Callithrix jacchus: one gene and its partners. The protein of the gene in region 1 interacts with the protein of each later gene in a pairwise test. Links are inferred from orthologs where the notes say so. Each region holds a gene or a part of one and is shown on either strand. Other genes may lie near its edges. The genes, in order: RAB6A, PMM1 and BICD2.

What was found.
Region 2: the proteins of RAB6A (region 1) and PMM1 interact in binary tests that used the Homo sapiens proteins (3 or more experiments, as listed by UniProt). The two-hybrid records come from large-scale screens. The link is inferred for Callithrix jacchus from reciprocal best matches to the Homo sapiens genes RAB6A and PMM1.
Region 3: the proteins of RAB6A (region 1) and BICD2 interact in binary tests that used the Homo sapiens proteins (3 or more experiments, as listed by UniProt). The link is inferred for Callithrix jacchus from reciprocal best matches to the Homo sapiens genes RAB6A and BICD2.

Annotation. Positions count from the first base shown.
Region 1 is NC_133511.1:67,265,597-67,269,243, forward strand, and holds part of RAB6A (ras-related protein Rab-6A), read left to right. Parts: intron 1-1,245; coding exon 1,246-1,357; intron 1,358-3,647. UniProt on the Homo sapiens protein: The small GTPases Rab are key regulators of intracellular membrane trafficking, from the formation of transport vesicles to their fusion with membranes.
Region 2 is NC_133502.1:190,158,149-190,162,246, forward strand, and holds the start of PMM1 (phosphomannomutase 1), read left to right. Parts: upstream 1-1,255; 5' UTR 1,256-1,289; coding exon 1,290-1,376; exon of another isoform or gene 1,377-1,916; coding exon of another isoform or gene 1,917-1,937; intron 1,938-4,098. UniProt on the Homo sapiens protein: Involved in the synthesis of the GDP-mannose and dolichol-phosphate-mannose required for a number of critical mannosyl transfer reactions. In addition, may be responsible for the degradation of glucose-1,6-bisphosphate in ischemic brain.
Region 3 is NC_133502.1:80,574,093-80,577,739, forward strand, and holds part of BICD2 (protein bicaudal D homolog 2), read left to right. Parts: intron 1-226; coding exon 227-682; intron 683-1,394; coding exon 1,395-2,435; intron 2,436-3,013; coding exon 3,014-3,165; intron 3,166-3,647. UniProt on the Homo sapiens protein: Acts as an adapter protein linking the dynein motor complex to various cargos and converts dynein from a non-processive to a highly processive motor in the presence of dynactin.

The DNA of each region.
Region 1 (3,647 bases):
TAGCCAGGTGTGGTGGCACATGCCTGTAATCCCAGCTCCTTGGGAGGCTGAAGCAGGAAAATTGCCTGAACGCAGGAGGTGGAGGTTGCAGTGAGCCGAGATCGTGCCATTGCACTCCAGCCTAGGCAATAAGAGTGAAACTCAGTCTCAACAACAACAACAAAGTGCTAGGATTACAGGCATGAGCCATTGTGCCCTGCCCTTTTAAAGTTTTTTAAAAGGGGCTTTCTTTTTAATTTTTTAAAAAATTTACCAGACTACACAGATGTGGTATCTTGGGCTAAAAACAAAATCTTACATAGACAAAGGATCTGTTCATTTGGACTAGTAATATTGTTACTATACATTTTTTGATACCGCCTCAATCTGGAGTCATATCTAATAAGGAATAATTGTGCTGGCAAAATTAGAAGGTTGCATTCAAGCACTTTTTTTTGAGATAGGTGCTATATGCAGCCTTTTTTCCTTTGCACCTTTACTTTGGGTTGCTGTTTGTTTTAAAAAAAAGAAGTATGTTCATATTGTGCATTATCAAGTTTTGTAGCTTTAAAATGTTTGTGCTTACTTTAACCAAAGCAAGTGAAACCTGGTGTATTTTTTTTATAATTCCACAAATGTGATTAAAATATTAGTAGTATATTGTTTTAACTACTGTAATAAGTGTTGAAGTACTCTACTTAGAATCCAACCTTAGAAAAAATAAATTTTGTTGCAAATATTTCCTGTGCATTAAACAAATAAACTTTAGGTTAAAGTGATCACAAACTGAGGAAACGGTGCAGGCAGTGGTGTTGAAAGCTATTGAAAGGCTTTAAAAATTTTCTGGATGTGTTGGGACTTACTGGCTGACATACTTTTGAGATGCTTTCTTTGTCACGTTTGGTATGTGTAAGTGATCAAAACATTGTGGCAATGTGACACCATATTATCTGCCATAGCTGTCCTTATATTTCAAGAGGTTGTTTTTTTTTCCCAATTAAATACTACATTGTGCTCATTTGGTCATGTTCAAAAAAGTTTTTAACTACTCTTAAAAGGAACCTTGAAGATTTTATTCTTGTAATTTGTTTAAATTGCTGACAGTTGTAATCAGATAAAATGGAGTTATGTTGCAGGCACATTAAAAGTGGGGTACTAATGTGCCAGACTCCTTCCAAGTTTGAGGGCTTTTTTGGAGGGAGGTGCCCGCCACCTGGGGAGGCATTTTTCAACAACACTAACTCTCTGTCTACCCTCCTATGCCAGATGTTAACTCATTCCAGCAAACTACAAAATGGATTGATGATGTCAGAACAGAAAGAGGAAGTGATGTTATCATCATGCTAGTAGGAAATAAAACAGATCTTGCTGACAAGAGGTATGGAGTTATTTTATGTTTGTGTAATGTTTGATTTCTGTGTTATGCAGCCTTTTATTTTTGTTTACTGAAAACTTATTTCATAGGAGACATGCTTAATCCTTAAGTTTATGTCCTCCCCTACTTTTCTTTAGCATGGGAACCTGAAATACAAATGTAAACATTAAACACCCAGTCCTTAAGGGAAAATGAATTTTATTTTATTTAAGCCCATGTGTAAATAACTCTTGTGCAGGATTGTTTAGACATGAAGCCAGTAAATATTTTGCATTTTTTTAGATCTCATAAACATGAATAGTGTTTTGTTAAAGAGCAAACCCTTTGGAAAACAAGCCTTATCTTTAAAAATTATTCATAATGATTAAATGCAGACTTAGTAGTCTTCTTATAAACATTCATTGTAATTCAGTGGTGTGGGATTTTGTTTTTTGGGTGTTTGTTTTTTTTTAATTGTGTAGTTGAGCCAGACTCTGTAGTTGCACTGAATAGCTTGATTGTGATACCTTAATCAAATGAGCGAAGCGATATTCAAGTCACAGGATGTAAAATATATTAACATTCACTGTAGAACCCTTGGCTTGAATATTTGCTTTCAGCATTCTTAAGGGATTTACTGTATATTCTTTCTGCTTTAAATAGTTTTGACCATACTACTTAATAGTAAGAGCTTTTACTATTTATTATTTGTTTATTCATGAGATGGATATTGAAATTTAGGTAATGAACTTGTGATATTAATTCAAATGTTGCAAAGAAAGCCAGTGTTAAAAGACTTGTGGAGATTTCAAGCCCATTTATGCCTATGGCACTTCAGTTAGAATTGGTAGTACAGGCTCATGCGCGTAATCCCATCACTTTGAGAGGCTAAGGTGGGCGGATCACCTGAGGTCAGAAGTTGGAGACCAGCTTGGCCAACATGGCAAAAACCCATCTCTACTAAAAATATAAAAATTAGCTGGGAGTGATGGCAGGCACCTGCAATCCCAGTTACTCTGGAGGCTGAGAAAGGAGACTTGCTTTAACCCGGGGGCAGAGGTTGCATTGAGCTAAGATTGTGCCACTGCATTCCAGCCTGGCTGAGATTTCATCTCCAAAAAAAAAAAGAACTGGTAGTACAGTTGCAAAAAAAGTCTTTCTTAATTTAAAAGTAAATTCAAAGTGATTTCGTCTTAGATACCTTCCTTTTTTTTTTTTTTCTGGAGATGGAGTCTTACTCTGTCATTCATGCTGGAGTGCAGTGGTGTGATCTGAGTTCATGGCAACCTCCACACACCACCACCACCACCAACACCACCCCACCCCAGGTTCAAGCTATTCTCCTGCTTCAGCCTCCTGAGTAGTTGGGATTACAGCTGCCACCATGCCTGGCTAATTTTTGTATTTTTAGTAGAGATGGGGTTTCGCCATCTTGGCCAGGCTGGTCCTGAACTCCTGATCTTGTGATCCACCTGCCTTAGCCTCCCAGAGTGCTGGGATTACAGGCATGAGCCACCATGCCTGGCCAGTACCATCATTTTTAAATAGAAAAATTGTATATCTGAATTGTTTCCCTCTATAGCCAGAGTCATCTGAGGAGGATGGTTATAAGGATTAGTTTTTTTTATTGCTTAATATTTCAGTTGAGTACACAAATGATAGGAACTTATCAAAATTATATATATTTTTTGTTTGTTTGTTTTTGAGACAAAGTTTCACTCTTCTTGCTCAGGCTGGAGTGCAATGGCACAGTCTTGGCTCACTGCAACCTCTGTCTCCCAGGTTCAAGTGATTTCTCCTGCCTCAGCCTCCCAAGTAGCTGGGATTACAAGAGCCCACCACCACACCTGGCTAATTTTTGTATTTTTTGGTAGTGATGGGTTTTCACCACATTGGCTAGGCTGGTCTTGAACTCCTGACCTCAGGTGATCCATCCACCTTGGCTTCCCAAAGTGTTGGGATTACAGGGGTGAGCCACCATGCCCAACCCCAAATTATATTTACAATAATTTTTCTTTAAGGTAACATTTGTCAGCTGCTTTGAAATTACCATCTTTCTTGGTAATCTTTGCCAGACTATCATCTCTCAACTGCTCACATTTAAGAGAAACAGAGCTCGTTCATTCCAATGAAAATACTTCCAAATGGGTAAAAGACTTAATTTTTCTTATCATCTTTATATTTTGACCTTTTATAAACATGACATGAAATCCCGAAGCTGTAAAGGGAAAGATTGATAAGTTTGAATACATAAAGAGCATATTCACCTATTAGATCGACCACAATTCAGAAGATTTAAATGCTCGGTAATGTT
Region 2 (4,098 bases), on another chromosome or scaffold:
AAATAAAAATACAAAACTTAACCGGGGATGGTGGCACACACCTGTAGTCCCAGCTACTCGGGAGCCTGAGGCACGAGAATCGCTTGAACCTGGGAGGTAGAGGTTGCAGTGAGCAGAGGATTGCGCCATGCACTCCAGCCTGTCTCAGAAAAAAAAAAAAAGAATCTGGGAAGCTCTCCAAGGAGGTGGACCGTGAGAGCTGGGTCTTATGTGTGGACAGAAGTTATAAGGTTCGGGGAAGGCAATTCCGCAAAGTTCAAAGCCTGAGCAAAGGCCTTCAGAAGAGACTTCTTTCTTTTTCTTTTTTTTTTTTTTTTGAGACAGAGTTTCGCTCTTGTTACCCAGGCTGGAGTGCAATGGCACGATCTCGGCTCACCGCAACCTCCGCCTCCTGGGTTCAGGCAATTCTCCTGCCTCAGCCTCCTGAGTGGCTGGGATTACAGGCACTCGCCACCATGCCCAGCTAATTTTTTGTATTTTTAGTAAAGACGGGGTTTCACCATGTTGACCAGGATGGTCTCGATATCTTGACCTCGTGATCCACCCGCCTCGGCCTCCCAAACTGCTGGGATTACAGGCTTGAGCCACCGTGCCCGGCCTCTTTTTCTTTTGTTTTTGAAGCGGAGTTTCGCTCTTGTCCCAAGTAGCTGGGTTTACAGGCATGCACCATGCCCAGCTACTAATTTTGTATTTTTAGTAGAGTCGGGGGTTTCCCTTCTTGGTCAGGCTAGTCTCGAACTTTCGACCTCAGATGATCCGCCTGCCTCGGTCTTCCAAAGTGCTGGGATTACAGGCGTGAGCCACCGCGCCCGGTCCAGAAGATTTCTTACAGCTCAAAATTTGTAAGGCAAAAGCGATCACTACAAATCTTGTCAGAGTGGAGAGAGACCCCGGCTCTCTAAGACAGGGTCGAGGCCCCGCCAGACCCAGCCCCTCGTCTGCCAAGTAGCAATCACCATCAACCCGCCAATTCTCATCCCGCCCCTGTCTTCCGGGTTCAACCTCTCACTTCCTGCCGGGCCAAGGCTCAGGCCCCGCCTCCGTCTTGTTTGGAGCAATCCAATCGAACCTAGGGGGCTCCGCCCCGCCCTATACCACGCCCCCTCCTCCAGGGGTAATCAGAATCAGCTCAGGCCCCACCCCTGCCTCGGGCCACCGAGACCACGCCCCTTATATTTTGGCTCAGTCTGCTGCCCCCGCCCCCAAAGGCCCGCCCCGTCGAATCTTAACCCTGCCCTGTTTCGGCGGCAGCATCGTTTGGACTCCGCCCGGCTCGCGTAACTGCAGCCATGGCGGTCACCCCCCAGGGCGCCCGCAGGAAAGAGCGCGTCCTTTGCCTGTTTGACGTGGACGGGACCCTCACGCCGGCTCGCCAGGTAGGACGCTGAAGTTTGGAAGCTCCCGCCGGGGGTGTCACGCGGACACACCCGAGGCTGAGTGTGGGGTCTGCAGCAGCGTGACCGTGGACACCCCGGGACCGAGTGTGGGATGTGGCGTTACCCGGCCACCTGACATCCGGGGCTGCCCACCGCGAGTAAGGGGACCTGGTCCTCCACGTCACTGCCCCTGCGGCGTCCCTGCCTGTGTTCTGCTTGGGAGTGCTGGAGTTGGATCCAATACTGGAGGGAGGAGGCTGCGAGCGGGGGGCCTACCTCCCCTCCCCAGAGGCTTTCACGCGCCACTGAGGCCTGGCTCCCGGATGCACCCCCACCCGAACCGGGGATCCCACCCTAGTTCAGCCCTACGACGCACCAGTGGTGGGAGTTGGCTTCTGAACCGGGAGTTCAGGCACACAAGCACACAGCCAAGCGTCAGTCACCATCTGGTGGGATACCGAGGATCTAGGAGCCATCCCACCTCGACCTTTGCAGGTCTGGGCCTCCCCCAGCAGAGAAGGGTTCTTTTCGAATGCTTTTATGGGCTCTACCCACCCGGAGGTGAGAGGCTGCAGGCCTAGTCTGTTTACTGTGAGGACACTGAGGCATAATGAGGATAGGATTGTAGTTTTCCTCCTAAAGGCTCTCTCTGTGTTGAGCCTCTTAACGTCTGCTCAGTTTTTCTCCCACTGGGTCTCATCCTGAGTGAGTCCCCAAAAGCCCCCTCATCAGCTGGATGCCTAAATAAGCAGGCTTCATTCATGCCCTCCCTGTGGGTAACTCACCCTCCAGTCTGGGGGCCTTAAGGACCAACTGACAGGTCTAGAGACGGGGAGCAGTGGGGATGGGTTTTACTAGGCAGTGGTTGATGGGGACCCAGGTCTTAGCCTCCTCTTTTAGGTCCTGAATGCCTTTCCCTATCCTCTATGGTGAAGTTGCCTTGGCTTGGGCCCTGGGGGCTCAAGGAATGATCAGTCCACTCTGCCTTCCTGCAGGGGTGATCCAGGAGGAAGATGGTAGGATTGGAGTGAAGGTGGGCTGGTCAAAGTGGCTCACTCCTGTAATCCTAGCACTTTGGGAGGCTGAGGCAGGCAGATCACCTGAGGTCAGGAGTTGGAGACCAGCCTGGCTAACATGGTGAAACCCTATCTCTACTAAAAATACAAAAAATAGCTGGGCATGGTGGTGCATGCCCAGCTAGAGGGACTACAGAGGCAGAGGCAGAATTGCTTGAACCTAGGAGGCGGAGGTCGCAGTGAGTGGTGATGGCCTCATTGCACTCTAGCATGGTTCACAGAGTGAGACTCCATCACAAATAAAAGAACTGGAACAAAGGTGGCAGGGCCTAGACCCAGTTCTGATACCTCCCTCTGACCTTTTGCTTTACAGACATAACAACCTGAATAAAAACAGCCTGTTAATTTTTCTATGGGCCAGGCTATGTGCTTACTGCCTTTTGAAAGTTAATTTTTAATTGTACACATATTCATGAGCACATTCTCCTGATGAAGAATGAAAACATGACAGAGAAGGGTAAAGTCTCCTCTGACCACACCAGGATCCCAGGCCTGGCCCCCTCCCCAAGGCAGTGTGGTTCAAGTGCTGTGGCTTACCTCCAGGGTTTTATCTGCTTTATCTGGATCTGTTTGCCCAGAGCAATTTTTTTTTTTTTTGGTGACAGAGTCTCAGTCTGTCACCCCGGCTGGAGTGCAATAATGCAATCTCGGCTCACTGCAGCCTCTGCCTCCTGGTTTCAAGTGATTCTCCTGCCTCAGCCTCCCGAGGAGTTGGGACTACAGGCTCATGCCACCTGGGTAATTTTTTGTATTTTTAGGAGAGACAGGTTTTTACCGTTGGCTTCTCAAGAATCAACTTGATTGTGATGCTATTTTGTTGTTAGAGACAGGGTCTCGCTCTGTCACCCAGTCTCTGGAGTGCAGTGGTGCGATCAAAGTTCTCACTGCAGCCTCGAACTCCTGGGCTTAAGTGATTCTCCTGCCTCAGCTTCCTGAGTAGCTGGGACTACAGATGAGTGTCACCATGCCAATTTTCAACTGGGTGTGCTGGCTCATGCCTGTAATCCCAGCACTTTGGGAGGCCCAGGCGGGTGGATCATCGGAGATCAGAAGTTCAAGACCAGCCTGCCCAACATGGTGAAACCCTGTCTTTACTAAAAATTAAAAAAAAAAAAAAAAAAAAATGGCCGGGCATGGTGGCTCACGCCTATAATCCCAGCACTTTGGGAGGCCGAGGAGGGTGGATCATGAGGTCAAGAGATTGAGACCATCCTGGTCAACATGGTGAAACCCTGTCTCTACTAAAAATACAAAAATTAGCTGGGCATGGTGGTGCGCACCTGTAGTCCCAGCTACTCGGGAGGCTGAGGCAGGAGAATTGCTTGAACCCAGAAGGTGGAGGTTGCGGTGAGCCAAGATTGTGCCATTGCACTCCAGTCTGGGTAACAACAGCGAAACTCCGTCTCAAAAAAAAAAAAAAATTGACTGGAGTGATGGCTCATGCCTGTAATCTCATCACTTTGAGAGGCAGAGGTGGGTGAGTCACAAGGCCAAGAGTTCAAGACCAGCCTGGCCAACATAGTGAAACCTTGTCTTTACTAAAAATACAAAACTTAGCCAGGCGTGGTGGTGGATACCTGTAGTCTCAGTTACTTGGGAGGCTGAGGCAGGAGAATTGCTTGAACGCGGGAGGTGGAGGTTGCAGT
Region 3 (3,647 bases), on another chromosome or scaffold:
GAGCGTTTCTGTGCATTTGCATCTAATGCTGGAAAACCCTCTTAGCCTCCACATCTCTGAGCAGAGCAAGCGGCCTTGGCCTGGACAGGCTACCTCCCTTCCCAGGATGGCACTTCACCTTGTGTCATGGTGGCAGGAGTTGGTGTGCTGGTGTGTTTTCTTCATTCATGGGGCCTAAAAGGAGCTTCCACATTGCCTTGACATAAGTTTTGACTTCTCTTCCCAGGTGGAGTTTGAGGGCCTCAAGCATGAGATCAAACGTCTGGAGGAGGAGACTGAGTACCTCAACAGCCAGCTGGAGGATGCCATCCGCCTCAAGGAGATCTCGGAGCGGCAGCTGGAGGAGGCGCTGGAGACGCTGAAGACGGAGCGCGAGCAGAAGAACAGTCTGCGCAAGGAGCTGTCACACTACATGAGCATCAACGACTCCTTCTACACCAGCCACCTGCATGTCTCGCTGGATGGCCTCAAGTTCAGTGACGACGCTGCTGAGCCCAACAATGATGCTGAGGCCCTGGTCAACGGCCTTGAGCATGGCAGCCTGGCCAAATTGCCCCTGGACAACAAGACCTCCACGCCCAAGAAGGAGGGCCTTGTACCACCCTCCCCCAGCCTCGTCTCTGACCTGCTCAGCGAGCTCAACATCTCCGAGATCCAGAAGCTGAAGCAGCAGCTGATGCAGGTGAGCAGGCAGTGGGGCTTTCAGCATGCTGTCCCCACTCTAACTCTGCAGGGCTCCCTGAGCAGTTCTTACCTGATACTCTGCTGATGTTAGCTTCTGTTTTCCTTACATTGGTTTTAACTTCTGCATCATTACTGTAAATGGAACTCCAGGAGCACACAGAGTCCCAGAGAAGTGCATTCCTGGCACTGCGGCATCCACGTTGTTTCCCTGTTACCTATGTGGTGCCAGGGTGAAGTGATGATACACAGGCCCCACATGTGATCCCCGCACGCAGGCCAGGAGTCAGAGGGGCCTGCCAGGGTCGTGCATGGGCTCACCTCCTGGGACATGGATCCCTGTTGATCCAAGGCAACCGAGTCCTGTCTTCTGGAGCAGAGGGCTAGGGTGCTAATATTCCCCACTACCCACCCAGCCAGCCCCAAGCTCCACCTTCTGAGCCCAGCTCGCCTGTAGCACTGGTGGGGAAAGAGCCTGCATTGAGGGTGACCACCATTACTGGTGGGCAGTGTTCTGAGAGCCCAGTGTGAATTCCATCCTTTCCTCACCCTATGTGTCTCTGTCCACCTCACTGACAGCATGGCCAAGGAACCTGGGGCTCATAGCCTGCCCTGACATGGGGTAGGATGTCGCTGGGCTATCCTGGGGGGTCCTCTAAGCTCTCGGGTTCCATAGCCACTGACATTGTGTCATGCTGCCTGTGCCTTTGCAGATGGAGCGGGAAAAGGCGGGCCTGCTGGCGACACTGCAGGACACGCAGAAGCAGTTGGAGCACACGCGGGGATCCCTGTCAGAGCAGCAGGAGAAGGTGACCCGTCTCACAGAGAACCTGAGTGCCCTGCGGCGCCTGCAGGCCGGGAAGGAGCGGCAGACGGCCCTGGACAATGAGAAGGACCGTGACAGTCATGAGGACGGCGACTACTATGAGGTGGACATCAATGGGCCCGAGATCCTGGCCTGCAAGTACAATGTAGCTGTGGCTGAGGCTGGTGAGCTCCGCGAGCAACTCAAGGCACTGCGCAGCACACACGAGGCTCGTGAGGCCCAGCATGCTGAGGAGAAGGGCCGCTACGAGGCTGAGGGCCAGGCGCTCACAGAGAAGGTCTCCCTGCTAGAGAAGGCCAGCCACCAGGACCGTGAGCTGCTGGCACGACTGGAGAAGGAGTTGAAGAAGGTGAGCGATGTTGCCGGCGAGACGCAGGGCAGCCTGAGTGTGGCCCAGGATGAACTGGTGACCTTCAGTGAGGAGCTGGCCAATCTCTACCATCACGTGTGCATGTGTAACAATGAGACACCCAACCGTGTCATGCTGGACTACTACCGCGAGGGCCAGGGTGGGGCAGGCACCAGCCCTGGGGGCCGCACCAGCCCTGAAGGGCGTGGCCGCCGCTCACCCATCCTCTTACCCAAGGGGCTGCTGGCTCTTGAGACTGGCCGAGCAGATGGTGGGACCGGGGATAGCAGCCCCTCGCCTGGCTCCTCACTGCCATCACCCCTGAGTGACCCACGTCGGGAACCCATGAATATCTACAACCTGATCGCTATCATCCGTGACCAGATCAAGCACCTGCAGGCAGCCGTGGACCGCACCACAGAGCTGTCACGCCAGCGCATTGCCTCACAGGAGCTGGGCCCCGCTGTGGACAAAGACAAGGAGGCACTCATGGAGGAGATCCTCAAGCTGAAGTCACTGCTCAGCACTAAGCGAGAGCAGATCACCACGCTGCGCACCGTGCTCAAGGCCAACAAGCAGGTGAGGCGCCAGGTGGCAGGGGCACTTGTCAGCCATTGCTGGCCTAAGGGTATTTCCCCTTGGCCTCCTTCCTCCCCCAACACAGCCCCCCCAGGCTTGTGTCACCATCAGGCACAGCCCGCTCTATATCAGCTCGGCCACTGGCCCTCCCCTGCACAGGGTCCCCACCTGGGAGAGTGGAGCAAGCAGGTGGGGAGCAAGGGCCCCTTGGCAAAGCTGCTCAGCCAGTGAGAAATGCTGCTGCCATTCACTCACTGTGACTGCCTCATAGTGCTTCCTGAGGCTAGAGGGAAAACATGTGAGAGCTACATTTGGAGAGTGATTGTGGGGCTTTGTAGGGGTCCCTTGGGCAGGTTTGGGGGCAGTCCCTCCTCTGCCAGTCAGAATGAGCAGTAGGACTCCCCATGGCACAGCTGCTGGAGTCTATCCCCAGGGTTTGTCAGAGGGAGGGGCCTCCCAGGAACTTTCTTCCCGGGCACCGCCACCACTTCAGACCAGGGCTCCCCATCCTGCGCCCAGAGCACCTCTAGGCTGACTTCCCGCCTTTCACTTGCCTGCCCTACATGTCTGTCCCTCAGACGGCCGAGGTGGCCCTTGCCAACCTAAAGAGCAAGTATGAAAATGAGAAGGCCATGGTTACAGAGACCATGATGAAGCTGCGCAACGAGCTCAAGGCCCTCAAGGAGGACGCGGCCACCTTCTCCTCGCTGCGCGCCATGTTTGCCACCAGGTAACCATGCTGCTGTTGGCCCTCCCCTTCCATGAGGCCAGCTGTCCTCTGCACTTGCCCCTGGCACCCGCAGCCTCTCACTGCCTCACCCGGAGGCCTGCAGTCTTGCCTACTCAGTTGGCTGCGCCCAGCTCCATTGGAGCCAGCATGGTACGAGATTGGGGAAGCATGGCTGCTAGCATATCTCTAGCACACTGGTGCTCAACTTAGTAACAAGAAAGGGTGAGACGATATGGGGGCCACATGGGGTTGGGGGCCTCCAGCTTCTGCACCTCAGCTTTCCCCAAGGTTACACAAGCAGGTACTGGAGCGTGGAACATGCCTGGCAGGTGGATAGCAGAGCATGTGTGATCCTTTTTCTGTTCCTGTCGCACCCAGCCCAGCCCCCAGGAACCTGGTTCTTTGGGGCCAGTTCCGTTTTGCTGTGAATGAAACCCCAGCAGGCCCAGGCTTGTCTCTGCTCTGCGTATATGGAGACTGAG